Callithrix jacchus: one gene and its partners. The protein of the gene in region 2 interacts with the protein of the main gene of each other region in a pairwise test. Links are inferred from orthologs where the notes say so. Each region holds a gene or a part of one and is shown on either strand. Other genes may lie near its edges.

Region 1 (4,290 bases), on a different chromosome or scaffold from region 2:
GCTGGCCAAAGGGTAAGAGGGGAGAAAAAGGAGAGGAGCAGCTCTCTCCACACCCACAGCCCCAGGTCGGCTTCCCCTGGCAGTGGCCTTGTTGCTCACCACTGTCCTCTGGGCCCTGACTATGGGGTCCCTCAGGAGAGACAGGGTCTCTGCTGGGGAAGGAGCTGGCTGGCAGCTGAGGAAATGGCCCAGTCACTGAGGCTTCCTCGCCACCCAGCTGCTCAGGGGACTGGTTCACAGGCTCCTGGACCTGCAATGCCTGTTCCAAGCTACCATCCGGGATGGGACAAACTGTCCAGGATAAGTTTGGGAGAAAGGGAGCTAGGATGTGGAGGGTGTGGGTCTGATTCTGTTCCTGCCGACAGGCATGTCTCCACCTACCTCTGGGAGGCTTTGTCCTCATCTGCAAGTGAGACACAGTATGTGGTCCCTTCCTGCCTAGCCACAGCTGCCATAAGAGATAATGGCTCTGCAAGCATTCTGCATAACACCAGGCTGTGCTGAGGTGAGGGCCTACAATTACAAACTCCTGGGACCCTCAAATACCTTCTACTTGTCGCCCCACCCATTGAGAACGGTGGAAGGCCCAGTGCAGGGCGAAGGCAAAGGCCAGTAAAGGGCAGTGAACTTGGCACGAGTGGAGATGCGGGTGACTAAAGAGGGGAACTGGCCGGGCGCGGTGGCTCACGCCTGTAATCCCAGCACTTTGGGAGGCCGAGGCGGGTGGATCACGAGGTCAAAAGATCAAGACCATCCTGGTCAACATGGTGAAACCCCGTCTCTACTAAAAATACAAAAAAATTAGCTGGGCATCGTGGCACGTGCCTGTAATCCCAGCTACTCGGGAGGCTGTGGCAGGAGAATTGCCTGAACCCAGGAGGCGGAGGTTGCGGTGAGCCGAGATCGCGCCATTGCACTCCAGCCTGGGTAACAAGAGCGAAACTCCGTCTCAAAAAATAAAAAAAGAAAAGAGAGGAACTTGCCTCACCCCCAGAGCGTAAGATCTTTTCTTGCTCAAGAGCCCTGATTCTACACACCTCCTCCCTACCTATGGCCCCAGACCACTTCTAACTCCATCTAGAGGAGGCTGACCGCAGACCCCCATGGCTGGTTCATACTGGGACACCAGGAGTCGAGTCAAAGGCCCAAATCTCAAGCCTCTCTCCTAGCAGGGGAGGTCTAGGGCTCCACAGCAATCCTGGGCTGAGCAGCACAGATCCCAACAGCCAGCGCCATCCCCGAGCCTGCCAAACCACTCTCCAGGGCTGTTCGGGCTCACTGAAGGTGACACATGGGCAGTAACCTCTATGCTCTCAGAGGCCGGTCCTAGAAGACTCAGCTCCCTACTGGCCCTTTCTCTAGGGGCCAGCACCGCACATTCATGTAGGAATCAAGCAAAAGCCAGAGCAGACCACTCCACAGCCACTCCCACCAACTCCGAGATTCTGAGCACCCCATCTCACCTCCCGACCAGGAGCCCCTCACACACTGCCAGGACTGCCTCAGTAGGCACCGAGGTGTCCACGGTTTTGACCCACAAGTATCAGATGCTCTTACCATCTCACCACCAAAGGGTCTCTGGTTCTTGGCTAGATCTATACCAGTTGTCCTACTGCTGACCCAAACAGGGCCAGGGAGGGACCCACCCAGAGGACACCCTTTCTGGATGGCACAGACCTCCGGACACTGCAGACCTTGCACCAGGCATCTTCAGTGAAACAATAGGGGATGTAGATAATCGGGCTGTAGCTACAGACTGCTGCAGGGGTGGGAGCAGTAAGCACGATCTGGTCATCAAAGTCAGGGTGGGTCCTTTCTTAGCCACAAGGCCTGGGGGCAGACAGCAGGCAGACATTCCTCTGCAAGCGCACAGCCAGGCAGCTAAGCCCTCACTAAGACAGACACTGCCGCACCACGTTGCCTGCTCCAATGGTGCAGAGATGCTTACTAGAGTGAGAGACGAACCAAAGGGTGCAGGAGCACACGCAGTGCAGGCAGCTGCCCCAGACTGAACCCTGCACAGACCTGACGAAGGACACCCCATGCTCCTAAGGAGGCTCAAAACATAGACCAGGAATGAGCAAATAGCAAACAACAGATACAGTCAAGCCCCCAGCTGTGGGATGCCAGCCAGCAATGGTTGTGCCCAGATGTCAGACCCCCAGTGAAAGGGATCTAGATGTGGGGTGCTGGAAAGAGGAGCTAGCCACAGGAGAACAGCCTGAGCCCGCCGGTAAAGGCACAGGCGCCAGTCAGAGCGGCCAGTCCGCAAAGCAGTCAGTCCCACACCCCCCCACTCCATTCACACACGCTTCGCACGCAGTCGTAGCACATGTACACGCTGACACGTGCATACACACCTCTTGCTGCATCCACACCATGCCCACTGCTCTGACAGGACAGCATCCCTGGCACAGACATCTCAGATCCACCCCCCCACCTCCCTACCCCACCTTCCAAGCCAGCCGGCCCTGGAACTGAGGTTGAGGGGCACCACTGCAGAAGGATGCCGGAGGAGGTGGCCCCCCTCTGAGGGACCAGCCGCTTGGGCGAGAGGTGGCGGGACAGAGCCTAGCATCTATCCTGAGGCCAGGAAGCACACTCACCTGGAGCTGCAGTGGAGGCCTGCGGGCTGGCCCGCTTCTTAAAGGGATATTTGGCCTTGGGCTTGCCAGAGCCAGATGGATAGGATGCCATGGCTGGGACCACGGCGGCGACAGCGGGGGAGTCTGAGCGGCACCGGTTGGGGCCTGGCTCTGCCACATCCAACCCCTTCCTCCGCCCCGCCCCCAGCGGGAGTGACTGATGCAGGAAGCAGCGGCTCCGCAGGCGGAAGAGGCCTTGGCCACGATTTCTCCTGTTGTCTAGGCAACCTCGGGAAGTGGGGCCTCTATCTCTGCCCCTTATTCCTCCCCTCCCTCCTCAGTCCCTGGAGTGACGTGACTGATGATGTCTGGGCCTGGCAGGGGGCGGGGGAGTGGGTGGGCAGAAAACAAGACGGGGAAGGGCCAGCCCCCAGATCTCCACTAAGTCCCCAAGAGCCCTCACCCCATCATGCCAGGGCTCCAGGGCAAACAAGCCAAAGTCCAGGCTAGCTGGTCCTTCCAAAAAGAATAACAAACAGGAATTCAGCCGCGAGCGAGCCCAAGCTCAAATACAGTCCTCCCGGGGCAGGGCAGGCTTACATACTCCGTGAAAACCCAGCACCCCTTTTCCTTCCCCATCTGACCCTCAGCTTCAGGGGCAGCCCAGCTCTGGGAGGAGGGGAAAGAACCGAGAATCCCAGCCCAGGAGGGAGGAGCTCGTGCTGGGAAAATTCCACCGTCGCCAAAAAGGTGCCTCCTAGGAAGGCCAGGAGACTCCCTTATCTGGGGGTCTGGGACAGAGACCCCAGCCTCTTCGGATTTTTCCTCTGTCTCTGCACACTCTGACTCTGCTCCCCAGGCCCTCCTAGGAGGACCTGACCGCCTTCCCTAGGTACTGCAGGCTGCGCTGGGACTCCCACTCTCTTGGCACCCTGGTCACAGCACTTCTCTGTCCCAGAGACCCTCCCTCCAAAACCCGCACACACACTCACCTGAGGCCATGCTGCCTGAGTCCCGAGGGGAGGCTGCCCACGAGGGTCTGCACAGCAGAAATCCTGGGTCCTGAGGGAGGGCAGGGGGGTCGGGGCCCAGACCCCGGCCAAGTCGTTCCAAGGGCCCTCGCCCGGGCACTGAGATGGGGGAAGTAAGGTAGTCTTTCAAAATTGTCAGCTGGCCGGAGGCGGACTCCCGCAGACCTCGGCAGCCGGACTGGCCTCAAGGCGACCCCGGCGTCGCGACCACCCAACCCCGCAATCGAGAGGCAAGTGGGCCACGTGCTCCCAAGAGAGCGGGACCCGGAACTCGTCCACGTTTCTCTCAACACTCCCTAGGCATTTACGGTCGGACTTCTGCGGCCGGACTATGGGGGAATCACGCAACAGGTGCGACCCTACCAAAATCTCGCCGGCTACGCGCCAGGCTCTGCGGCCCTTGGCCCCGCCCACTCCTGGCCCCGCCCACGCCTGGCGACCCCGCCCCGCCATTTTTCCTCTTCCTGGGCGCCACGTGGGCAGCCACCACACCGCGGTAGGGCTGGCCTGAGCCGACCATGGGTCTTGGGCCAGTTCTGTGCGTCAGCTTCCTCATCAGTAAGATGGAGTAATGACCCTACCTCACTCTAAGGGGTTACTGTGAAGATTACACAGTGTCTCGCATGAAGTCAGGGCCCAGTGAAAGGTAGCTGTTATTATTGTCCCAGGATTCA
Region 2 (3,500 bases):
AATACTTAGGTATGTATCTCCTGAAGTACTTTTATTCCTGCTCTTATTGTCACTTCCAAGAAATTTGACATTGAATGTAATAATATTATCTAATATTCAGATTTGTCCAGTTGTCTCTATCTAAAATGTCATCTAAATTCAGGGTTCTGTCAAGGTCTCACATTACATTTAATTGTCATCTCTTTCATCTCTTGAAAGCTAGAACAGTTCCTATCCTTTGTAGTCTTTTTAAATCAACATTTTAAAAAGAAACCAGGTCAGTTGTCTTGTAAAATATCCAACAATCTGGATTCATGTGATTGTTTTTTCATTTTTTGCAAGAATATCATATAATTGAATGTTTTGTGCTCCTCATTTTATCATATCAGGGAGGTACATGATGTTGGTTTGCCTCATTATTGGTGGTTCTAAATTTGATCACTTGGTTAAAGTGGTGCTCACTTTAGGAAAGATACCTTTTACTCTAATTTTAGTTTCCATTGATGAACCCTGCCTGCTTACATTAGGTATTAAACTGATGGTTTCACATCCTCACATTTTTGACTGAATCGATCATGTACCCTACTATGAACCAAGGGAATTTTTCCCCCAGCTTCCTCGTGAAATGGGATATGCATGTTCCAATAAAGACTGGTTGAACTCATTCTGCATTGATTGCCCAATTGCCCAGTTTTAAAAACTGACAGGCTTCCTGGATGTCAGATGAGCAAAAGAAAAAAGAAAAAAAAAATGACAGGCATTTCTGGGACAGTTTCTCACTGTTGACATCCATAGTTGTGTGCTAGAAACAACCTGGCTGCATTTCTTTTTTTGTTAATGGTTACTTTTGTTTTCTGCTCTTAGTGTGGATGATTTGGCTCTGAGCATATATCCACCTATGTGTCACCTGACTGTGCGAATCAATGTAAGTACTGGCTTTGAGGGAATAGCTACATATCTAATGGGAAGAATTTCACTAATCACTAGTATTTCCTCTAAGCTATAGGGTACATATTTATTTGTCACATTTGGATGGAAGTACAACAGTAATGTCGCAATTCTTGCATGCATTTGTGCTTGATAAATATTTGTTAAAGTTGAATTATAATAGCCATGAGCTTTGGTAGTTCTCTCTTCCATCATTACCTGGGTAATCATTTAGAAAAGCCTAAAGGCCTTAGAAAATGCTGCTTTGAGGCTGGACGTGGTAGCTTATGCCTGTAATCCCAGCACTCTGGGAGGCTGAGGCAGGCGGATCACCTGAGGTCAGGAGTTCGAGACCAGCCTGGCCAACATGGTGAAACCTTGTCTCTACTAAGAATACAAAAATTAGCTAGGCATCACATGCCTATAATCCCAGCTACTCAGGAGGCTGAGGCAGAAGAATCACTTGAACCCAGGAGGCGGAGGTTGCAGTGAGCCAAGATCGCGCCACTGCACTCCAGCCTGGGCAACAGAGCAAGACTCTGTCTCAAAAAAAAAGAGAAAAAAGAAAATGCTTATTTGAAAAGAAAGTCTTAATTACACAGTAATTTAGGAACTTCTCAACCTGAAGTCAAAAGTTTCTAGTTTCTAGACTAGGCAGCAATTAGATTGAACTCTAGCTGTTGATGAAGTAGCTCGCTGAGGTTGCAAGTTTCTTAATTCTACATTAGACAGAAATAAGTGTTACAGAAACATACTCTGTTCTAATACAAACACATTGTGTGATTTAACCATGGAGAGTCAAGTTTCTTATAAATATCTGATTTTATTGTATTCTTTGAAGTTCTGTGCCATTTACTAGAGAGAGTTCTTTCTACTGTTATTGGAAAGAGCCCTAAAACTGCCAAATGGCTTATATTTTAAAGTTGAACGTATCAATTCTAGTAATAGCTGATAAATTGGATAATGGAAACTAGATTCGTCAGATGTTCTTCATGATGTACAAACACCTTGAAGTAGAATAGGATCCTTTTGGGCATTAACTTAAAAAATTGACTCCCTAGGAAATAAACATCTTTAGCAGTATGCCTAGTCAACTATCCCAAACATAGCATCTGCTCTAGCAATTTTAAAATGTATACTGCATATGTATCTTTTTTTTTTTTTTTTGAGAGAGAAAGTCTCACTCCATCGCCAGGCACCAGGCTGTAATACAGTGGTGTGATCTCAGCTCACTGCAACTTCCACCTCCTGGGTTCAAGCAATTCTCCTGCCTCAGCCTCCCTAGTAGCTGGGACTACAGGCATGCGCCACCATGCCTAGCTAATTTTTGTATTTTTAGTAGAGAAATGTCTCCATGTTATTATTATATTGGCAGTGTTAAAATCTTTTATAAGGTTTAAAAAAAAAAAAAACAGGAAACTTAGTCATTTCTGCTTTATATTTTGAGCTATCAGCTTTTGGGACCAATTCAGGTTACATTGTTCCCTTTTCTATTCTTTTCTAAATTGAAAATATTTTGGATTTTTAAAATCTTATTAAAACGTTATAGTAACAATATTAACAAGATCTTGCTAAAGAGAAAAGAACCCATAATCCCATCACCCTAACCTAATCAGCATTTTTGTTTTTGCGTGCTTCCTTCAGGGTTCGTTTTCTAAATATATATATTTTAATCATTTGAGTCTTTTAAAATATTTGAGCTTGCCTTTTTATGGTAGGGCTCAGGGTGAGTAACTTCTATGTTTCTTTTCTAGTCTGCGAAACTTGTGGCTGTCTTAAAGAAGGTGCTTGAAATCACAAAGTAAGTATGAAGACTTTTCAGATAGCTTTTTGAGAGTAAAGTGGAGCTCCTGTCCAGACATTCTCAACTCCTAAGCCCCCATTTCAAGGAGTGGGAAAGGGTGGGTGTGGGATTTTCTTTCAACTTCAGTTGTGGGGCAGCTGAGTTTCTGCAAAGAAGCACCCCTTTAAAAAATTACAGTTTTCCCTGTGCTCCCTCCTGAGGACAGGTTTTCCCTGAGGACACCCTAGTAAGTTTAACCTATTTTTTTTTCTATTCTATTCATAGAGCAAGTCATGTGACCCCTCAGCCAGAAGATAGTTGGATCCCTTTACTTATTAATGCCATTGATCATTGCATGAATAGAATCAAGGAGCTCACACAAAGAGAACTTGAATTATGAGTTTTCAGGTTCATTTATACTCTCTTCTCCTCTTCTCACCATCATGGTCAGGCTCTGATGTCTCCTTTTAAAATGGAGCTAGAATGCTTGCTGGATTGAGAGGCAATGCCTGTTTATATTTAGCAAGAGACACTATTACCAAAGATTGTTGGTTAGTCCAGATTGGCACCTATTTACAAACCATATACAAATAATATATTTTTCTGTGCTATATGTAAAAAATAATTGCATGATTTCTCATTCCTGAGTCATTTCTCAGAGATTCCTAGGAAAGCTGCCTTATTTGCTTTTTGCTGTAAATTGTTTTCATTGTAAAGATGTTGATGGTCTCAATAAAATGCTAACCTGCCAGTGATTGAGTGCCCTTCCAAAGTTTCTTTTTACCAGAAATACAGTGGATTGAGACTAAAA
Region 3 (4,080 bases), on a different chromosome or scaffold from region 2:
AAACCCACAGCCCTGCTATTCAGACCCCTTACTGTTGAGACCCACGGTGGTGGTGATTTTGGATAGACTCATCCCCTTGTAGTTCTTGTTAAACCGGGTTTTCGACTGCTCCAGGAAGGTCTGAGGAGAGAGGGAGGCAGACACATCAAATAGGGACTACAGTGTTTCCCAAGTCTTTTTCCCAAATATCCTTACTCAGGCCTGCTCCTTAAAAGACAAAAAACAGAAACAAAGCAACGTTCTGCTCTTCAAGAAGCTGGCGGTGACTACCCTGTCTTCTCAGAAGTCTGGATTCTGTCTGGGTGGTGAGCATGCAGCTGACACCAGGTCGTGGGGAGGGGCTCAGGCAAGGGAGGGGCACTCACCGTCTTCCCAGCATTGTCCAGGCCCAGGATCAGGATGCAGTACTCGTCCTTCTGAAACATGTACTTGTACAGGCCGGACAGCAGCGTGTACATCCTGCCCTGGACACCCCGACAGATGTCACTGTACAGCAAGAACGCACCCGCCCCCCGAGTTTCTCCACGGTGGTCAGTGGTGCTCCACGTCCAGCTGACCGCTCAGGACTAGAACCTGGGGCCATTCCCGACTCCTCATCTCTCTTCCACCCCATCCCTTTGTGACTCTTCGGCCTCCGTAACTTCTCCCAGATCAGCCACCCTCCGCCACTCCTGCCCCGGGGCCTCCCTGCCCGCGGGACCACCCCGCCAGTGTTCACAGTGAGCTCGGTTGCGCCCCCGCCCTCCCCCCCGCGTCGCTCCCACGCTTCACGCGCGCGGAACGGGGAACGCACTTGCTGCAGCCCCGCCTGGGCACAGCGCCCTCGGGTGTTCGGCCGCGAGCCCCACCCAGTAACAGCCAGGAGCCCCTGCAGGCGCCCCATCACCCCGTTTCTTAAAACGGGGACGGCCTGTGGAGAGCGGACCCGCAGGCAGCGCGCGGCGGGCGGGGACGGACTCCCGCGGAGGAGGAACTGCGCTCGGGCCCCCGGGCTCCCGGCGGCTGCCAGTCGCGGCCGCCAGGTTCGAGGCTCGCCGACAAGCTGCTAAAGCTGGTTCCTGTCACACCCGCGTCCCAACCTCGAGTCCAGGGCCGCCTCTCGGGCCTCGGGCCCGGCCGCACAGCCTCCGACCTACCTGCGTCCGCCGCGGCCTCTAAGCCGCCGCTGCTGACCCGGCACCGACCCCGCGCGGGGCCTGACGGGACGCGGGCCGTGGGGCAGAAGCTTAATCGCGTCCCGGCGGCCTCTGCGCTCCGCTTCCCGGCTGCCACCGCGCGCCAGGCACTTCCGGAGGCGGCTGCGGCGGGAGGAAGTGCCGGTAGGCTGCGAGGGCGAAAGCGGGGCTCCGGCCTGCTTTAGCCGGTGAGGCCGGCGGGCTCTCTATGGAGGCGGCTGGGAAACCGCGCTGAGGAGGTGCGCGGCCCTGGCCGGACGGAAGAGAGGCCGGGCGGGGGTCGGGACCAGCCTGCAAGGCTGCGGGCGCGGCGGGTGCGCTCGGCGGAGGGCCGCGCGGGGTCGCCCTGCGGGGAGGGGGTGACGCGGAACCCGGCTAGCAGCGAGCCCGGGGCGGCTCGGAAGGGAAGTGCGGAGCCCGAGCGGGGGTACCGGGCTGCGACCTCCGCGCCGGGAGCTATCGCTCTGAACCGGTGTCTCCGCGAGGGAAAGGGGACGTGCCCGTGCCCGCCGCAGGCTGTGGTGGCGGCTGCGAGACCCTCGCTCCGTGTCGGTCCCGAGACGCGGGGCTCACCAGGCCCCTCTTCTCGCAGCTCCGGTCCAGCGCCTCCCTCTCTCAACATGGATGAGGACAGCCTGGAGGCTGCCCTGCAGACCTACCGTGCGCAGCTGCAGCAGGTGGAGCTGGCCCTGGGCGCCGGCCTGGATTCGTCCGAGCAGGCCGACCTGCGCCAGCTACAGGGGGACCTGAAGGAGCTCATCGAGCTCACCGAGGCCAGCCTGGTGTCCGTGAGGAAGAGCAAGCTGCTGGCCGCGCTGGACGGAGAGCGCCTGGGCCAGGAAGATGCTGAGTACCAGGCTTTCCGGGAGGTCATCGCCGAGGCGGCCCCTGGGGCCGGATCAGAGACAGTTCCTAAAGCAGAGGCGGGGCCAGAATCTGAGGCAGGTGGGCAGGAAGAGGGAGAGGAGGAAGAGCTGAGTGGGACCAAGGTGAGCGCGCCTTACTACAGCTCGTGGGGCACCCTGGAGTATCACAACGCCATGGTGGTGGGCACAGAAGAGGCGGAGGATGGCTCGGCGGGTGTCCGTGTGCTCTACCTGTACCCCACTCACAAGTCCCTGAAGCCCTGCCCGTTCTTCCTGGAGGGAAAGTGTCGCTTCAAGGAGAACTGCAGGTAAAGCCCTTTGCTGTCAGATGGCAACCTCGAGGCGTACGGGGTGCACATACAGGGTCAGGTCAGGATCGGCCCTCCCTTTGCAGTTGGTCCCAGCTTCCTGGGGCAGGCGGGCTGTGAAAGCAGTATCCTTGTTTAGGCATGTGCCTCTTTCTTCTGGGATAAGAGCAGGATGCATGGAAGGAGGCTAATCAAGGTGGCTCACGCCTGTAATCTCAGCACTTTGGGAGGCCCGGGGGGGAATCACCTGAGGTCTGGAGTTGGAGACCAGTCTGGTCAACATGACGAAACTCCATCTCCATTAAAAGTACAAAAAATCGGCCAAGCACAGTGGCTCATGCCTGTAATTCCAACACTTTGGGAGGCCGAGGCGGGCGGATCACGAGGTCAAGAGATGGCGACCATCCTGGCCTACATGGTGAAACCCTGTCTCTATTATAAGTATAAAAGCCAGCTGGGTATGGTAGTGTGTTCCTGTAGTCCCAGCTGCTCGGGAGGCTGAGGCAGGAGAATCGCTTCAATCCAGGAAGTGGAGGTTGCAGATCACACCACTGCACTCCAGCCTGGTGACAGAGTGAGACTTCGTCTCAAAAAAAAAAAGTACAAAAATCAGCTGGGCGTGGTGGCAGGCACCTGTGGTCCTAGCGACTCAGGAGGCTAAGGTAGGAGAATCAGTTGAACCCAGGAGGCTGAGGTTGCAGTAAGCCAAAATTCAGCCACTGTACTCCAGCCTGGGCAACAGAGCGAGGCTTATGTGAAAGAGAATAGGTCCCCAACCTATTGTCAGTTTTGTTTGTTTTTTTGAGACAGGGTCTTACTTTGTCACCCAGGCTGGAGTGCAGCCTGGACTTCCTGGGCGCAATTGATCCTCCTGCCTCAGTCCCCCAGGTAGCTGGACTACCACACCCAGCTAATTTCTGTATTTTTAGTAGAGGTGCGGTTTTGCTGTGTTGCCCAGGCTGGTCGCACACTCCTGAGCTCAAGTGATTCACCCGCTCTGGCCTCCCAAAGTGCTGGGATCACAGGCGTGAGCCACCGCACCCGGCCCTGTTGTCAGTTTTATTCTCTAGAATTCAACTTTTAAATTTACTTTAATGGAAATTTTGAAACCTGCCCCAGATGAGAGAGCCTAGCATAATCACTGCCCACAGTCTATTATCATTTTGCTTGTTCCCCCGCCCCGCTTTTTCCCTTCCTGGATATTTTAAAGCAAATTTCAGAAGGTACTGGGTTTTTCCAACTATGAATACTTCAGAGTGGATCTCTGATAAGGAAATATTACTTAAAAAGTAACTTTTTGAAAGTCCAAGTCAGTGTGAAGACAAGAAAGAGTCACTTCCACATCATTATAGATAACACGTTTCATGGCAGCACCTCTTCCATGTTCGAATATCCACAGCTATTACCATGATGTCTCCATTTCCATAAGCGCATAGCTTTATTTTTGCTCCTTTTTACTTTTCTCTGAGAAGAAATATTTACCAGGCTTTCTAGTAGGTAATTTTCTTTTTAGCCAATAGTTCAGGCTGGCCAGGTAGCACTCCTAGTTCTTTGGATGTCTTACTTTGTGGGGGTTTTTGTTTTTGTTTTTTTTAAGCAGGGTCTTGCTGCCCTGTCACCCGGGCTGGAGTACAGTGGCACAATCTCAGCTCACTGCAATCTCTGCCTCCCTACTTCAAGCCATCCTCCCACTTCAGCCTCTCTGATAGCTGATACTACATGCGTGTACTG
Region 4 (4,256 bases), on a different chromosome or scaffold from region 2:
TTAAATGAGGTCCTCTCTCCCTTAACATGGAGAAGCATTAAGAATGTGGCCCCAGATCCCTCTGGCCTGGAAGCCGCTGTGAATTGCCCCTTACTTTTCACGATGTCCATGATGTGGCGCTGCTGGGTGTTCGTCAGTTTGGATTCCTTCATCATCACTACAAGACAAAGCATTCAGTTTGTATGAGGCCTCCTGGCTGCAGGCAGATGTCTTCACCTGACATCCTAGCCCCATTCTGCACTGAGCATGCCTTCTCTATCCTCAATGCCTTTCCTGCTTAGTTTTTACTTTTTCTTTCCTTTTTTTTTTTTGAGACGGAGTCTCGCTGTGTCACTAGGCTGGAGTGCAATGGCGCAGTCTCGGCTCACCGCAACCTCCGCCTGCCAGGTTTAAGCGATTCTCCTGCCTCAGCCTCCCAAGTAGCTGAGACTACAGGTGTGCGCCACCATGTCCAGCTAATTTTTGTATTTTTAGTAGAGACAGAGGTTTCACCATGTTGGCCAGGATGGCCTCGATCTCTTGATCACGTGATCCACCCGCCCCAGCCTCCCAAAGTGCTGGGATTACACCATGCCCAGCCCCTGCTTCGTTTTTTCTACAGCACTTATCACCACCTAAAATTCTATATATTTTATTTTATTATTTATCTTTCTATTTAGCTCATGATAAGAATTTTTGCTGGTTTAATAAAATTTCTGCCCTCTGTTAACAAATATTTTTTCTTCTTTTTCTTTTTTCACTGTGGTATCCCCAGCACCTAAAACAGAGTCTAAGGCACATTAAAGAGTTAAACATGTTGTTGTTGGTGGGGCACGGTGGCTCATGCCTGTAATCCCAGCTATTCGGGAGGCTGAGGCGGGCGAATCATCTGAGGTCAGGAGTTTGAGACCAGCCTGACCAACATGGAGAAACCCTGTCTCTACTAAAAATACAAAATTAGCCAGGCGCGGTGGCACATGCCTGTAATCCCAGCTATTCGGGAGGCTGAGGCACGAGAATCGCTTGAACCTGGGAGGCAGAGGTTGTGGTGAGCCGAGATGGCATCACTGCACTCCAGCCTGGGTAACGAGCAAAACTGTGTTTCAAACATAAGAAAATGTTGGCCAGGTGCGGTGGCTCACACCTGTAATCCCAACACTTTGGGAGGCTGAGGTGAGCAGATCACGAGGTCAGGAGATCGAGACCATCCTGGCCAACATGGTGAAACCCCATCCATCTCTACTAAAAATACAAAAAAAAAAAAAAAAAAAAAAAGCTGGGCATGGTGGTGTGTTCCTGCAATCCCAGCTACTTGGGAGGTTGAGGCAGGAGAATCCCTTGAACCTGGGAGGCGGAGGTTGCAGTGAGATGAGATCGCGCCACTGCACTCGAGCCTGGGTGACAGAGTGAGACTCTGTCTCAAAAAGCAAAACGTGGTTGAGTAAAAGAACACATGAACACTTGTTCATCACGTTTCAGAGGCTGGAGGTACAGTCGTGAGTTGAAACAGACACGATTCCTGCTGATGAAAGAGGGATAGATGGGACACCAAGTGACTGAGCCCAGTGAAGGAAAATGTGTGCGGGCACACAACAGTCGAGCCTACTGTGGTGGTAAGGAGGAGACAGGTCTTCCCGGGAAAGTTGAAAGTGTGATCTAAAGCATGCATAGGAATTAATTACTCTAAAAATGTTAGTTGACTTTTGGCAAGCTGTAGCACCTTGAACCTTCCCTCCCTCCCCCGCTCCTGCCCACTAAGGTATATGCAGTAGAACTTGGAAGCTTCCTGAACCCCAGGCTCCTTATCTGTAAAGGAAAATAGCAATAATTGCTAAGCCACAGGTCAGGTAGGGGAGAACTGAGTTACAGAGGGTAACTACCATCATTCTTTTCTCATCCTTTAACTCGGGTTTCCACCCGTCCCCCACCTGCCCCGTCCCCCGTTCCTGGACTGACACCAGTCCCTGGCCTGTTAGGAACAGGGCCGCACAGCAGGAGGTGAGCAGCGGGCTAGCGAGCGTCACCGCCTCCTTTCAGGTCAGTGGCAGCCTTAGATTCTCATAGGAGCGTGAACCCTATTGTGAACTGCGCACGCGTGGGATCTAGGTTGCAGGCTCCTTATGAGAATCTAAGGAATGCCTGATGATCTGAGGTGGAACAGTTTCATCCCGAAACCGTTCTTGTCTTCCACGACAGCGGTCCCTGGTGCCAAAAAGGCTGGGGATCGCTGCTTTAAAGCACTGACCTTCGAGCAGCTCGCAGGTCCCCGGGGTGTAAGTGGTCTTCTTGGGGCGGCGCCGGAACCCCGTTGCTTTGGTCACTACTTCTATCTTCTGTGAAGCCATGCAAGGACCCTGAGGAGGGAAGGATGCAAAGACACACCCTCTGTCTCCTATCCCTAATTTCCTCTTCCCCACGCCCACCACCCTAGAAGTCTGGAAGCGGGGATCCAGCCAGAGAATCGTGATGCCGCCATTTAATATCGAGACAGTGCCCAAACCTCCCATCCGGACACAGACAGATACACACACAGAGTCCTCATTCTGACCCAGCGCCTGTGGCAGGGAAGTCCCCTCGGGAGGAAGGCAGTGTTAACATAGCCAGATCAGAACAGTACCCACTGAGAGATATGCCAAAATTGAAATTTCACCCTAAGACCTCCTCTGGGTGCTCCCTTCTCCACATAGAGGTGAGCTCTCGGAGGCGGTGACCACTGCTTTACAGCCGCAGCCGCACCGGTGCCACGTAGAAATCCTACGCGATCTGGGCTGCTAGAGCTGGCAACTAACAACTGTGGCTACCGTGGCTACCATGGTAACGCGCCCACGAGTCAACGCATGCGCCCTTTCTCTCTCGCGCCGTCCTGCCTCCCGGAAGTGATGCCTCTGGGTTACCGCGCAAGCGCAGGATAATCGTGGCGCCGCGCGAGTCGTAGTGGAGCCGTTTGCGGGTCTCCGCGCGGCACTGGGGAGCAGCGGCGTCGCAGAGACTAGGGTGTCATGTCAGACAACGAGGACAAGTGAGTGCGAGAGCCAAGTGGCCTTTGCGGCAACCTCAGAAGGGGCAGATGAGGCAAGGCGTGGGTCGAAGGCGGCTGAGGAGCCTGGCGTCGAGGGGCAACGTCTGAGGGGATTGGCGGCCTGAGGGGGCAGGCGGTGCCGGGGAAGGAAAGGGCGGGGACCCAGGAGCATCGGCCCGACCGGAGACCGGGCACGGGAAGCTCCTGGCTCGAGGGTCCGGATAGGATCCGTAGGAAAGGTGTCTTTCGGTGAGCCGGGCTCTGTGTCATGGGAATATTGAGGTGAATGAGGAATCGTCCCTGCCCTCCACGTGCTCGCTTTCTAGAACAGGGGGCACAGGCCCATAAGTAAGTAAACAGGTCATGGGAGTCGCGTGAGCTTCTCCAGTTCTAGAAGTATGTAATATAGGAGTTCTCCAGAGAAGGGTCTGGGGCAGCTCCACCGGTGGCATTAAATACAAGTCTGGAAGGGTTGGTTGCAGTAATCTTATTTTTATTTTTTTTTTAGACGGAGTCTTGCTCTGTCGCCCAGGCTCTGTAGTGCAGTGGCGCGATCTCAGCTCACTGCAGCCTCTGCCGCCCAGGTTCAAGGAGGGATTCTCTTGCCTCAGCCTCCCGAGTAGCTGGGATTACAGGCATGTGCCACCACATCTGGCTGTTTTGTTTTTAGCAGAGATGGGGTTTCACCATGCTGGCCAGACTGGTCTCGAACTCCTGACCTCAAGTGATCCACCCGTCTCAGCTTCCCAAAGTGCTGGGATTACAGGTGTGAGCCACTGTGCCCGGCCTGGTTGCAGTAATCTAGGTGAAAGTCAGTAGCTTGTGGTAGGGTGGTAGGAGCAGAGGTGGTGAGAAGTGGTTTTGAATTCTGGATATATTATTATTTTAAAAGTAGAGCCAAAAAAATTACCTGTTGGATGTGTGGGCACAAAGAGATTTAGTGTGAAGATAAAAATAAGAAACGTGTGGGATTGCTACAACATTCTCAGTGTCAGTAGAGAAAAGGAGATGACCCGTGGCTGAGCGTTCGGGCATTCAAACGTTGAGTGCTTGGAGGAAAAGAGAAGCCAGGGAGGTGGGGGAACACCAAGAGAGTGAGGTGTCGTTGGAGTCAAGTGAGGAGAGCGAGTGGCCTAATGTGTCAGCTGGTAGATCAGGCTAAATGAGATTGAGAATTGGCCATTGGATTTAGCAACGTGGAGATCATTAATGAACTTGGGAAGAGGGGTTTTGATGGAGCTCTTGGTGTGAAAGGCTT
Region 5 (3,500 bases), about 13 Mb from region 2:
AACACATCAAATATAAAGTTTTAGCCATGGATTGTGAGATTATGACTAATTTTTAGTTTCTTTTGCTTCTTTGTATGGTGCAAATATTTGCAGTTTAAAAATGTATTATTATTATAAAGGGAACAAAAGTTATTTTTTAAACCCTGATTAAATATCTAAAACTCTATTTTATCCAGAATACACCTTTTTGTAAAGAAATATGTGCTTATTCTAGACTTTGACAATGTTTGGCTTAGAAGTAGATGTAACTACTGAAAATTGATCATTATTTTATAAACATGAATAGAGATAAGCCCTTTAAATAAGACTCATGTTGCAAAGGGACTCTTTACAAGAATTTATTCACAAAGTTGTGTGTGTGTGTGTGTGTGTGTGTGTGTGTGTGTGTGAGACAGTCTTGCCCAGCCTGGAGTGCAGTGGTTTGATCTTGACTCACTGTAACCTCCACCTCTTGGCTTCGAGCAGTTATTGTGCCTCAGCCTCCTAAGTAGCTGATGGGCCATCACACCAGCTAATATTTGTATTTTTAGTAGAGATGGAGTTTCACCATGTTGGCCCATCTGGTCTCGAACTCCTGACCTCAGGTGATCCTCCCGCCTCAGCCTCCCAAAGTGCTGGGAGGCATAAGCCACTGTGCCTGGCTACAAAATTTCTTTAACTTGAGTACCAATAGCCTATGGTACAGCCACCAAAGACACCTGCTAAAATATTTTTTCAGTGCTTTGAAGGCAGCTGCCACTACCTGAAGGCTGTAGGTAAAATTGCTAACTACTTTAATTTTGTTTTCATTTCTCTTTCACTTATTTTCTCTCCTTCCAGGCCCTCCTACCTTTTCCAGATACCTTTTCTTACTCTCTTCCATATAATCTCTAGGTACCCTGTCTTATATTGTCTTTTGCATATCTAAACCCTCCTTCTTTCTACCTCTTACCCTTATCACTTCCCCCAAACGAAATTTCATGGCCTGGCACAGTGGCTCATGCCTGTAATCCCAGCACTTTGGGAAACTGAGGCAGGCAGATCACTTGAGGCCAGGAGTTCGAGACCAGCCTGGCCAACATGGTGAAAGTTCATCTCTACTAAAAATACAAAAATTTGCCGGGCGTGGTGGCAGGCACCTGTAATCCCAGCTACATGGGAGGCTGAGGCACGAGAATTGCTTGAACCCGGGAGGTGGAGGATGAGCCAAGATCATGCCTCTGCACTCCAGACTGGGTGACAGAGAGAGACCCTGTCTCAAAAAAAAAATAAAATAAATTTTCATTTCACAATGTAATTTTTCTCAGGAAAGTATTGAAGTCATTTATTTTCTTCTCTATAAAGAACAAATGATTAGGTTTTCTAGAATAATATGACTGCTAAGATATCAAATTAAGTTAATACTGATAGTATTATCTTGGCTGGGCATGGTGGCTCATGCCTGTAATCCCAGAACTTTGGGAGGCCGAGGTGGGTGGATCACCTGAGGCCAGGGGTGATCCATCTTTTTTAGAAGAGACGGGGTTTCACCATGTTGACCAGGATGGTCTTGATCTCTTGACCTCGTGATCCACCCGCCTCAGCCTCCCAAAGTGCTGGGATTACAGGTGTGAGCCACCGCGCCCGGCAGTATGGCAGAATTCTTAAAAGCTTGGAGTATAGATTCACCTTGCCTAGGTTCAAATATCGACCATACTAATATGTGACTTTGAAATTTTTTAGCTATACTCTTTTACTACTTGTGACTTTTGAAAGATAAAACCCTGCAAGGTAGACTTAACTTTAATACGATTCTCCTATGATTTATATTTTTAGATTACATGTGAAAATGAAGTTATGCAAACCCAAGGCCATGCTGATAATCCATCTAATAATGTCACTGCAGTGCCTACTCACTGTGAAGAAGGGCCAGTGCATAAAATTACACAAATTTCTTTGAAAAGGCCTTCTCACCGTAGTGTGGGTATGTTTTGACTCCAATGGATTAAGCAATTAAATTGATCTTTTGCATATTCAAGATATATGAAAAGCAAAGTCTAACTCCTCGGTACTTACACTTATTCTCTTCCAGGTATTCAAGCCAAAGTGAAAGTGTTTGGAAAAAGACTGTAATGCAACTACTCTATTGTAGTCTAGAACTTCTTCTCTCTTTGACATTTACTCCAGTGATTCAGAAACAGATACAGACTGGGATATCAAGAGTGAACAGAGTGATCTCTCTTATATAGCTATACAGGTGAAAGAAGAGACATGTTAAAAACCCAACCTCAAATGCTCTGATGTGCTATAGATTTTCAAATCTTTACTGTTTTTGCTATTGTAAATCTTTCACTTCAAGATAATTTGACAGTTGAGTACCAGCAAAATTTGTTTAGCTCTATGGCAAAAGTTTGCTTGCTTGCCACATAATGAAGATAATCCCTACCCACAAACATCCCTACACTCTACTTTCAACACTTTTTTCTTTTCTTTATTTCTTTTTTTTTTTTTTGAGAGGGAGTTTCACTCTTGTTGCCCAGGCTGGATGGAGTGCAATGACATGATCTCAGCTCACCGCAACCTCCGCCTCTCAGGTTCAAGGGATTCTCCTGCCTCAGCCTCCCAAGAAGCTGGGATTATAGGCATGCACCACCACACCCAGCTAATTTTGTGTTTTTAGTAGAGACGGGGTTTCTCCACATTGGTCAGGCTGGTCTGGAACTCCCGACCTCAGGTGATCCATCCACCTCGGCCTCCCAAAGTTCTGGGATCACAGACATGAGCCATCATGCCCTACCTCACTTTTTTTTTTCCTTTTAATCCTTTCGGTAGAAATCAGGTTACAAAGCAAAACCGCAATATCAACAACGTATTCTAATCACAGTTAAGCATTGAATATTTATTTAAGCTTAGTTCAGAAGCAGTGCTTCTATGGGATTTACTTGACATTTGCTGGTTAGAATGTCACTATTCTTCTAAATAATTTGAAGGAATAAAGTAATAACAGTGAGCACAGCCGTGCCTGACACTACTAATTGATTTGGTAGTGAAATCTAGAACTTCTTCTAGAATGACATCTACCCTTGACTACTTTTTATGTTATTTATTTATTAGTTTGTCAATTGATAACATATATGGATCTGTCCTGTGAGCATTTCTGATGAATCTGTGGTTCTTACAGAAATTTTTCAAAGAGAATCAATTTAGAGATGGAGTTTTCATACACTTACATTAACTTATTAATGAAATCTATTTGCATCAGTTCCTACTGCAACACATTAATTAGCTTGATTAATTTAGAATCATTAACATCATGAAAAAAAGTATTACATTTCTAATGTATTCCCATTGCAGGTGTTAGGTTTTCTTTCTGTCAATACCCCTCTTTTGAATTCTACATTTGAGAAATAAGCATGGAAATATTAGCTACCCCATCTGCCATTCACCATGAAAAATTTCTCTGGTGATTTTGTACCATGAAGTAAATTGTTACAGTGGTTTCTGAGAAGCATACCATAACTCTGATCTTCTATTGAGAATAG
Region 6 (3,500 bases), on a different chromosome or scaffold from region 2:
GGCTCTGAATGACCATTGGGGCCCACTTGCCTGCCTGTGGGAGTGGCATGAGGGTGCTCCTAGGAGTACTCTGGGGGGCCCCTGCCAGCAGTGGTAAGTGGGCCTGTGAGGGGCAAGTGATGGGTGGTGCCCAGGGTCTGGGGTGTAGTGAACGCTGTGCCCATCCTGCCCAGGATGGTGGGTATATCGGCCTTGTGTCTGCCAGGCATTCCTTCTTCCCAGCCCTGCAGCACTCGGTCAGCAGCCTCGTTTTCAACAGGGTCTTGGTGAAGTGGATTCGATCGGTCCTCCTAGTATCTGTACAGGGGTGTGGCAAGAGGGGAGATGGGCAAGGCCGAGGGAGCCCTTTCCTGGTTAGGGTTCCTGGCAAGGGTGAGACCGGCGGGGCCTGGGCCCTGGCTGACTCTGGCCTGTGACTCCTACCCCGGAGTCTGCCCTTCCTCCTGCTGCCAAATGCTGATGGGCTTGTCTCCGGTCCCAGAGCACCAAGCTGTGGATCATCATGGAGTACCTGGGTGGCGGCTCTGCGCTGGACTTGGTGAGGCCATGGTTGTGGGGGGTCATGCAGTGCCCGAGTCCCCTGCCCCTCAGACTCATGGGCTCCAGGGGCCACCTGTCTCGTGTCATGCTGAGTTAGGTGTTAGTTAGGAATCGTCTAAAGCAAAAATGAACTGCCAGCCGCACATCTGCCCAGTTGGTGCTGAAAGGGGTCCTGGCCTGTGGCAGTGGGTGGGGACAGCACGCTGGGAGATGGCTGGGACCCTGTTTTTCTGCTACACGACAGTAAGGTGAAGCTGGCTTATATGCTTTAGAATGAGCCTCCACTACCCCACTCCCATCTGAGACTTAGTTCTGTTTGAGAGGTAAAGGAACATGAAGCCCCCAGCTCTGCAGGGACAGCCCTCCCCCGTCAGAGGAGCCTGGGGTGGGAGCTGAGGCCTGCTGTCCCACCTTCTCTCCAGCTGAAACCAGGCCCCCTGGAGGAGACGTACATTGCCACGATCCTGCGGGAGATTCTGAAGGGTCTGGATTATCTGCACTCTGAGCGCAAGATCCACCGAGACATTAAAGGTCCTGCTGGGGTGGATGTGGCTCTTGTATTGTCCTGGGCCCCGCTGACCTCAGAGGCTGGGGCCTGTGAGGGGCAGGTGGCTGGTGGTGCCGGGGTCTGGGATATAGAGAACCCTGTGGCCCCCCTGAAACTGAGCAGTGCTGTCTTGCTCCATTTCCAGAAGATGCTGCTCGTAACGGTTTCCCAGTACGCTGAGGAAACCAGCTGTGCACCCAGTATAGGAAGGGGCCACACTTAGATGGAGTTGTTGCTTCCCGCCTGTGGCCCATGGTATAATGGCAGGTGTAGACTGAGTAGCCTTGGCATGTGGTCTGGCCCTGCTGAGTGCAGACGAGAGGCTGGGCCAGCCCATGGGGAGGGACTTACCACTGGCACCGAGCCATCTGCCATGTAGGGGACGAGTCTGGTGGAGCGAGGGGCTTCCTGGCAGGCCTGTGTTGTCCACACCCTGGGTCAGGGTCACCTCTGCACTGGCCCCCAATGGGTGAAGTAGCTCTGTTGTTGGGATTTGTTGTAAAGGCCAAATGCAGGCAGAGCCCTGGAGCTCAGAGTGGGAGCCCTGGGCCTCCTGCTTGGCACTGCCCCAGTGGCCCTAGGTGGCCCTGGGTTTGAGAGTGGCAAGGGGGGCTGAGGTCCTGAGGACAGCTTTTCTGCACCCTGGGAGGCCAGGTGGATGGTACCCTGGCCCTTCTCAGGGGACCCTGGGTGGAGCCATGTGGAGCCTGGGGTGACACCTGCCTGTCCTGTGTCAAGCAGCTGCCAACGTGCTGCTCTCAGAGCAGGGGGATGTGAAGCTGGCAGACTTTGGGGTGGCCGGGCAGCTCACAGACACGCAGATCAAGAGGAACACGTTTGTGGGCACCCCCTTCTGGATGGCGCCTGAGGTCATCAAGCAGTCCGCCTACGACTTCAAGGTGGGTGCAGTGGGCGGGCGGGCAGGTGCGGGCTCCGGTGCACCTGGCTCAGGTGCTCAGGGCAGTGACAGTCCTTGTGTTCTCTCCAGGCCGACATCTGGTCCCTGGGGATCACGGCCATTGAGCTGGCCAAGGGGGAGCCTCCAAACTCTGACCTCCACCCCATGCGCGTCCTGTTCCTGATTCCCAAGAACAGCCCACCCACCCTGGAGGGCCAGCACAGCAAGCCCTTCAAGGAGTTCGTGGAGGCCTGCCTCAACAAGGACCCCCGATTCGTAAGGCCCGCCTTTGGCCCTCCACATGGAGGAGGGAGGGTGTCTGCTCAGTGAGGGCAGCACAGCCCGGAGGCCTCAGCACCGCAGCCTCATAGCTGTGAGGACCCGCTCCGGTCCAGGCTGCCTCATGTTCGCTTCCCTGAGGCAGAGCCTGGCTGGCCTGGTGACCTGTGTTCTGACCCCCCACAGCGGCCCACGGCCAAGGAGCTCCTGAAGCACAAGTTCATCACACGCTACACCAAGAAGACCTCCTTCCTCACGGAGCTCATCGACCGCTACAAGCGCTGGAAGTCTGAGGGGCATGGCGAAGAGTCCAGCTCTGAGGACTCGGACATGTAGGGGCCTGGTTTGTCCTCATGGTGACCCTAGGTGCTTTGACGGGGGTGGTCCCCACTCCAGAGCAGGTGTGGGTGCTGGGGTTGTGGGTGGCCAGGTGTGGTGTGGGGCAGGGACCCCCTCAGGCTGTGCGACAGGGCCTGCTGTGGCATCTGCTGGACGCCATGGCCTGGCAAAGCCCCACCAGGTGCCATGAGGTGTGCCCTGAGGCTCTCGTGCCTCCTGCCCTCTCCCCACTGGCCCTGGTAACTCCTCATCCTCTTCAGTGATGGCGAGGCGGAGGACGGGGAGCAGGGCCCGATCTGGACATTCCCCCCCACCATCCGGCCAAGTCCACACAGCAAGCTTCACAAGGGGACGGCCCTGCACGGCTCACAGAAGGTCTGTCCCTGGCCTGGCCTCTGCCCCATGTGCATGTGCTAGGAAGATGAGGGACTTATTTGGAGCCAGATTTGTGAGGGGAGGATGGGAGTCACAGGAGCCTGGACTCAGGCCATCTGGGTTGCTTGATGTTTTGGAGCCAGTCCTGGGCGTGTGCCTGACAGGCTGCTCCCAGCCTCTGTCCCTTTAAGGCCAGAGCCTGGGCAGGGGTGGGAGTGCCCTGCCTGCTGCCCGCACTGCCCTGCTCACCCTGGGCTTCACCTCTGCAGCCCGTGGAGCCCGTCAAGAGGCAGCCAAGGTCCCAGTGCCTGTCCACGCTGGTCAGGCCCGTCTTCGGAGAGGTGAGGATGGGGCTGGGGCTGGGCTTGGGGTTCCACCAGGGACAAGGCTGTGACACTGTTCCATGAAGTTGTCTCCTCATGGTGTCATGGGGAAGTTTCAGTTTCTAGGTTTCCTGCAGCTGATTATGGGCTGGGTTTTCTGGGTGGAAGGAGCAGAATCTGCTGCGGTGACTCCTTTTGT
Region 7 (3,260 bases), on a different chromosome or scaffold from region 2:
GTCCAGCCCCTGCAAACCATGCTGGCTTCATCTTGGGACCTTCCCTCCATTCTAGCCACTCCAGCCCCCATGCTGTTCTCAAATTTCAGGATCACCTTTGTGTGTGTGTGTGTGTGTGTGTGTGTGTGTGTGTGTGTGACGGAGTCTCACTCTGTCACACAGGCTGGAGTGCAACAGTGCGATATCGACTCACTGCAACCTCTGCCTCCTGGGTTCAAGTGATTCTCTAGCCTCAGCTTCCCAAAGTATTAGGATTACGGGTGTGACCCACCACGTCCAGCCCAAGAGGGGGCATTCTAAATGAGACTGTCCCATGCCAAGGTCCTCTGCCACTTCTAACATCAATTCCCAGTTCCCAGAGTGAGTATGAAACCTGGCTCTGCCATTTCCCTGCTGTCACCTTGGATACATTCCTTAACCTCTCCAGGCTTTCTATCTTTCTCTGTAAAATGAAAATAATAGGCCAGGAGCAGTGGCTCATGCCTGTAATCCCGCACTTTGGGAGGCTGAGGCAAGTGGATCACCTGAGGTCAGGAGTTCAAGACCAGCCTGGCCAATAGCTGGGCTTGGTGGCCGGCACCTGTAATCCCAGCTACTCTGTAGGCTGAGGCAGGAGAATTACTTGAACCCAGGAAGCGGAGGTTACAGTGAGCCGAGATCGCACCATTGCACTCCAGCCTGGACGACAGAGCGAGACAGTGTCTCAAATAAATAAAATAAATCAGATCATGTTATTACTATTTTTGTCTTTTTATTTTTTATAGAGAAGGTCTGGCTATTTTGCCCACGCTGGCCTAGAGGTTCTGGGCTGAAGCCATCTTCCTGCCTCAGCTTCCCAAACTGCCGGGATTACAGGTGTGAGCCACTGCACCCAGCCTGGCTGTTATGATGATTAGGAATCACTTTGAAGTCTACGAAGGGTGCAGCCACTCCAGCTTAGGAGTGGGAGATGTTTGCAAACATGGACTTTCTTTGAACAAATAGGGAAACTGAGGCACAGAAAGTGGAAGTGTCTTCTCAGAGGACACAGAACACCTTGGCGGCAGAGCAGGAACCAGAGACCAGGGGAATGACCTCCTTCCAGATCTCCGTGAAGTACTAAAGTCAGATGGGGGTTATGGGTGGGAGTGGCCCCTTTAAATCCTAAGCTCCACCTTTGCTTAGAAGAGTTTCTGGGGATTATAAAAGGGGGTGCAGCTCCTTTCTACTCCGGGAAACGCCTGCTGCTCTTGCCTTTGCCCACAGGCCTGCAGCCCCAGCCCCTCTCCAGTGCCCACCACCCCTGCTTTGGTGCCATGCAGCTGCCGCAGCTGCCACCCTTCGACATGTGGAAGGACTACTTCAACCTGAGCCAGTTAGTATGGGAGCTGATTGAGAGTCGGGGGCAAAAGCTGGAGACTCAAGAAACTGATGAGCCAAGTCCCGGGCCCCCACTGGGGCAGGATCAGGGACTGGGAGGGCCGGGGGCCCCCGGGGGCCTGGGCACTCTGTGTAACTTCTGCAAGCACAACGGGGAGTCCCACAACGTCTACTCCTCACACCAGCTGAAGACACCGGACGGCATGGTGGTGTGTCCCATCCTGAGGCACTATGTGTGCCCCGTGTGCGGGGCCACCGGCGGCCAGGCCCACACGCTCAAGTACTGCCCGCTCAACGGTGGCCAGCAGTCCCTGTACCGCCGCAGCGGGCGCAACTCGGCTGGACGCAGGGTCAAGCGCTGAGGACCGTGAGATGCCCACCACCCACACCCCTGACCCTCCTGGTCCATCCCACCCAAGTCCCTCCACTCTCTTCTCCAGTCACCCAGCCCTTTGGAATTTCTGGCCCCAAGAACTCCACCCTGCTGGATCCTGAAACAGGGGAGGCTGCTGGGAGCCAGGCCAGCCCCGCCCCCTTGGACCTGTCAGCCCTCGGAGCTCAAGCATCCGAGGGTCCTTGGTGTGCCGGGAACCCGGCCTGCACAGCCCTGCAGCGCCCTCTGGGTCCCGGTTCGTGGATGTTTTGTCCTCGTGGGGCCTGCTGGTGACAAGAGCCCTGCCCCTTCGACTTCTCCGTTCCCCCTGGAGTTCTTGGATATTCGAACCTCCAGGATTCCTCAGTGCTGTTCCAAACCAGCCCTCGGGAGACACTGAACAAGGCTGGTTCAGAAGTGCCCACCCAAGAACTTCAAGACGGGATGTCGACTTAAGACCAGCCTTCTCCACTTTCAGCCTCCTGCAGAACCGCGGTGTCATCGTGGACCACACCGGTTCATTCATTCCCTGCCCTCAGCATCCATCCCTCAGGACCTCAGTGGGACGCTGGACGGCCCCGTGTCCCTGGAGAGCACCATGTCTTCGCAGGCTCACCTATGGATGGAGAGCAGTGGGGTGAGCTGACCCGTTTCAATGCTCCCTGGTTGCTCTTTTCCTTGTTCAGCCCATTGCACTCGGTACCTGCCCCCATCCCCAGATCACCAACTGGTCCTTTCCCCCAGCGAGCCACGCATCTCTCCGCCACCTACCATCCGCCCCCATAAATCATGATACTTGTCTAAAGTACATTTTTTCCTCCTGTGTGTTTCGTCCTCCAACGTTTAAGTCAAGGAAGTTCCGATAAAAAGGAGTTTGAGTACCTGGATGGAAAAGGCAACAGCCTAGATTTTATTTTAGGGGAAAAGAAAAGAAGGGCCCCCGTCAGATTTTAAGTTGTTCAGTTTTTGGCTCAGACCCTGAGTATTGAGCTCTGGTGAATAAAAAGTTTCTACAGTCATCTTTGAAATGGTTCTATCTGTTTCTGTCTTCGGTTTCTTTGTGAGACAGAGTCTTGCGATGTCGCCTCAGCTGGAGTGCAGTGGCGCCATCTCGGCTCACTGCCCGGGTTCAAGTGATCCTCCTGCCTCAGCCTCCAGAGTAGCTGTACCCGGGACTACAGGTGCTCACCACCCAGATAATTTTTGGGTTTTATTGGTTTTTTTTGTTTGTTTGTTTGTTTTTTGACAGAGTTTCGCTCTGTTGCCCAGGCTGGAGTGCAATGGCACAATCTTAGTTCACTGCGACCTCTGCCTCCCGGGTTCAAGAGATTCTCCTGCCTCAGTCTCCCGAGTAGTTGGAACTACAGCCACATACCACCACACCCGACTAATTATGTATTTTTAGTAGAGACGGGGTGGCAAGTAGCTGGGACTACAGGTGTGTGCCACCACACCTGGTAATTTGGGGGTTTTTTGGTTTTTGTTTGAGACAGAGTTTTGCTCTGTTGCCCAGGCTGGAGTGCAATGG

The links.
Region 1: the proteins of CCNDBP1 (region 2) and AMPD2 interact in binary tests that used the Homo sapiens proteins (3 or more experiments, as listed by UniProt). The two-hybrid records come from large-scale screens. The link is inferred for Callithrix jacchus from reciprocal best matches to the Homo sapiens genes CCNDBP1 and AMPD2.
Region 3: the proteins of CCNDBP1 (region 2) and ZGPAT interact in binary tests that used the Homo sapiens proteins (3 or more experiments, as listed by UniProt). The two-hybrid records come from large-scale screens. The link is inferred for Callithrix jacchus from reciprocal best matches to the Homo sapiens genes CCNDBP1 and ZGPAT.
Region 4: the proteins of CCNDBP1 (region 2) and C1H22orf23 interact in binary tests that used the Homo sapiens proteins (3 or more experiments, as listed by UniProt). The two-hybrid records come from large-scale screens. The link is inferred for Callithrix jacchus from reciprocal best matches to the Homo sapiens genes CCNDBP1 and C22orf23.
Region 5: the proteins of CCNDBP1 (region 2) and THAP10 interact in binary tests that used the Homo sapiens proteins (3 or more experiments, as listed by UniProt). The two-hybrid records come from large-scale screens. The link is inferred for Callithrix jacchus from reciprocal best matches to the Homo sapiens genes CCNDBP1 and THAP10.
Region 6: the proteins of CCNDBP1 (region 2) and STK25 interact in binary tests that used the Homo sapiens proteins (3 or more experiments, as listed by UniProt). The two-hybrid records come from large-scale screens. The link is inferred for Callithrix jacchus from reciprocal best matches to the Homo sapiens genes CCNDBP1 and STK25.
Region 7: the proteins of CCNDBP1 (region 2) and NANOS2 interact in binary tests that used the Homo sapiens proteins (3 or more experiments, as listed by UniProt). The two-hybrid records come from large-scale screens. The link is inferred for Callithrix jacchus from reciprocal best matches to the Homo sapiens genes CCNDBP1 and NANOS2.

The regions. Positions count from the first base shown.
Region 1 is NC_133508.1:147,514,377-147,518,666, reverse strand, and holds the start of AMPD2 (AMP deaminase 2), read right to left. Parts: upstream 2,801-4,290; 5' UTR 2,766-2,800; coding exon of another isoform or gene 2,698-2,765; coding exon 2,607-2,697; intron 2,436-2,606; exon of another isoform or gene 1,558-2,435; intron 1-1,557. UniProt on the Homo sapiens protein: AMP deaminase plays a critical role in energy metabolism. Catalyzes the deamination of AMP to IMP and plays an important role in the purine nucleotide cycle.
Region 2 is NC_133509.1:30,932,093-30,935,592, forward strand, and holds the end of CCNDBP1 (cyclin-D1-binding protein 1), read left to right. Parts: intron 1-843; coding exon 844-904; intron 905-2,660; coding exon 2,661-2,707; intron 2,708-2,974; coding exon 2,975-3,089; 3' UTR 3,090-3,444; downstream 3,445-3,500. UniProt on the Homo sapiens protein: May negatively regulate cell cycle progression. May act at least in part via inhibition of the cyclin-D1/CDK4 complex, thereby preventing phosphorylation of RB1 and blocking E2F-dependent transcription.
Region 3 is NC_133506.1:59,197,956-59,202,035, forward strand, and holds the start of ZGPAT (zinc finger CCCH-type with G patch domain-containing protein), read left to right. Parts: upstream 1-1,280; 5' UTR 1,281-1,319; exon of another isoform or gene 1,320-1,414; intron 1,415-1,767; 5' UTR 1,768-1,795; coding exon 1,796-2,349; intron 2,350-4,080. Other genes in the region: ARFRP1 (ADP-ribosylation factor-related protein 1), read right to left, coding at 33-120, 366-458. UniProt on the Homo sapiens protein: Transcription repressor that specifically binds the 5'-GGAG[GA]A[GA]A-3' consensus sequence. Represses transcription by recruiting the chromatin multiprotein complex NuRD to target promoters.
Region 4 is NC_133502.1:208,953,240-208,957,495, forward strand, and holds the start of C1H22orf23 (UPF0193 protein EVG1), read right to left. Parts: upstream 2,801-4,256; 5' UTR 2,601-2,800; intron 2,334-2,600; 5' UTR 2,325-2,333; coding exon 2,225-2,324; intron 158-2,224; coding exon 95-157; intron 1-94. Other genes in the region: POLR2F (DNA-directed RNA polymerases I, II, and III subunit RPABC2), read left to right, coding at 3,285-3,346.
Region 5 is NC_133509.1:17,925,339-17,928,838, reverse strand, and holds part of THAP10 (THAP domain-containing protein 10), read left to right. Parts: intron 1-1,794; coding exon 1,795-1,942; intron 1,943-2,050; coding exon 2,051-2,091; 3' UTR 2,092-3,500.
Region 6 is NC_133507.1:162,779,750-162,783,249, reverse strand, and holds part of STK25 (serine/threonine-protein kinase 25), read left to right. Parts: intron 1-481; coding exon 482-538; intron 539-962; coding exon 963-1,071; intron 1,072-1,828; coding exon 1,829-1,986; intron 1,987-2,075; coding exon 2,076-2,261; intron 2,262-2,450; coding exon 2,451-2,596; intron 2,597-2,863; coding exon 2,864-2,978; intron 2,979-3,247; coding exon 3,248-3,319; intron 3,320-3,500. UniProt on the Homo sapiens protein: Oxidant stress-activated serine/threonine kinase that may play a role in the response to environmental stress.
Region 7 is NC_133523.1:40,065,208-40,068,467, reverse strand, and holds NANOS2 (nanos homolog 2), read left to right. Parts: upstream 1-1,211; 5' UTR 1,212-1,295; coding exon 1,296-1,721; 3' UTR 1,722-2,760; downstream 2,761-3,260. UniProt on the Homo sapiens protein: Plays a key role in the sexual differentiation of germ cells by promoting the male fate but suppressing the female fate. Represses the female fate pathways by suppressing meiosis, which in turn results in the promotion of the male fate.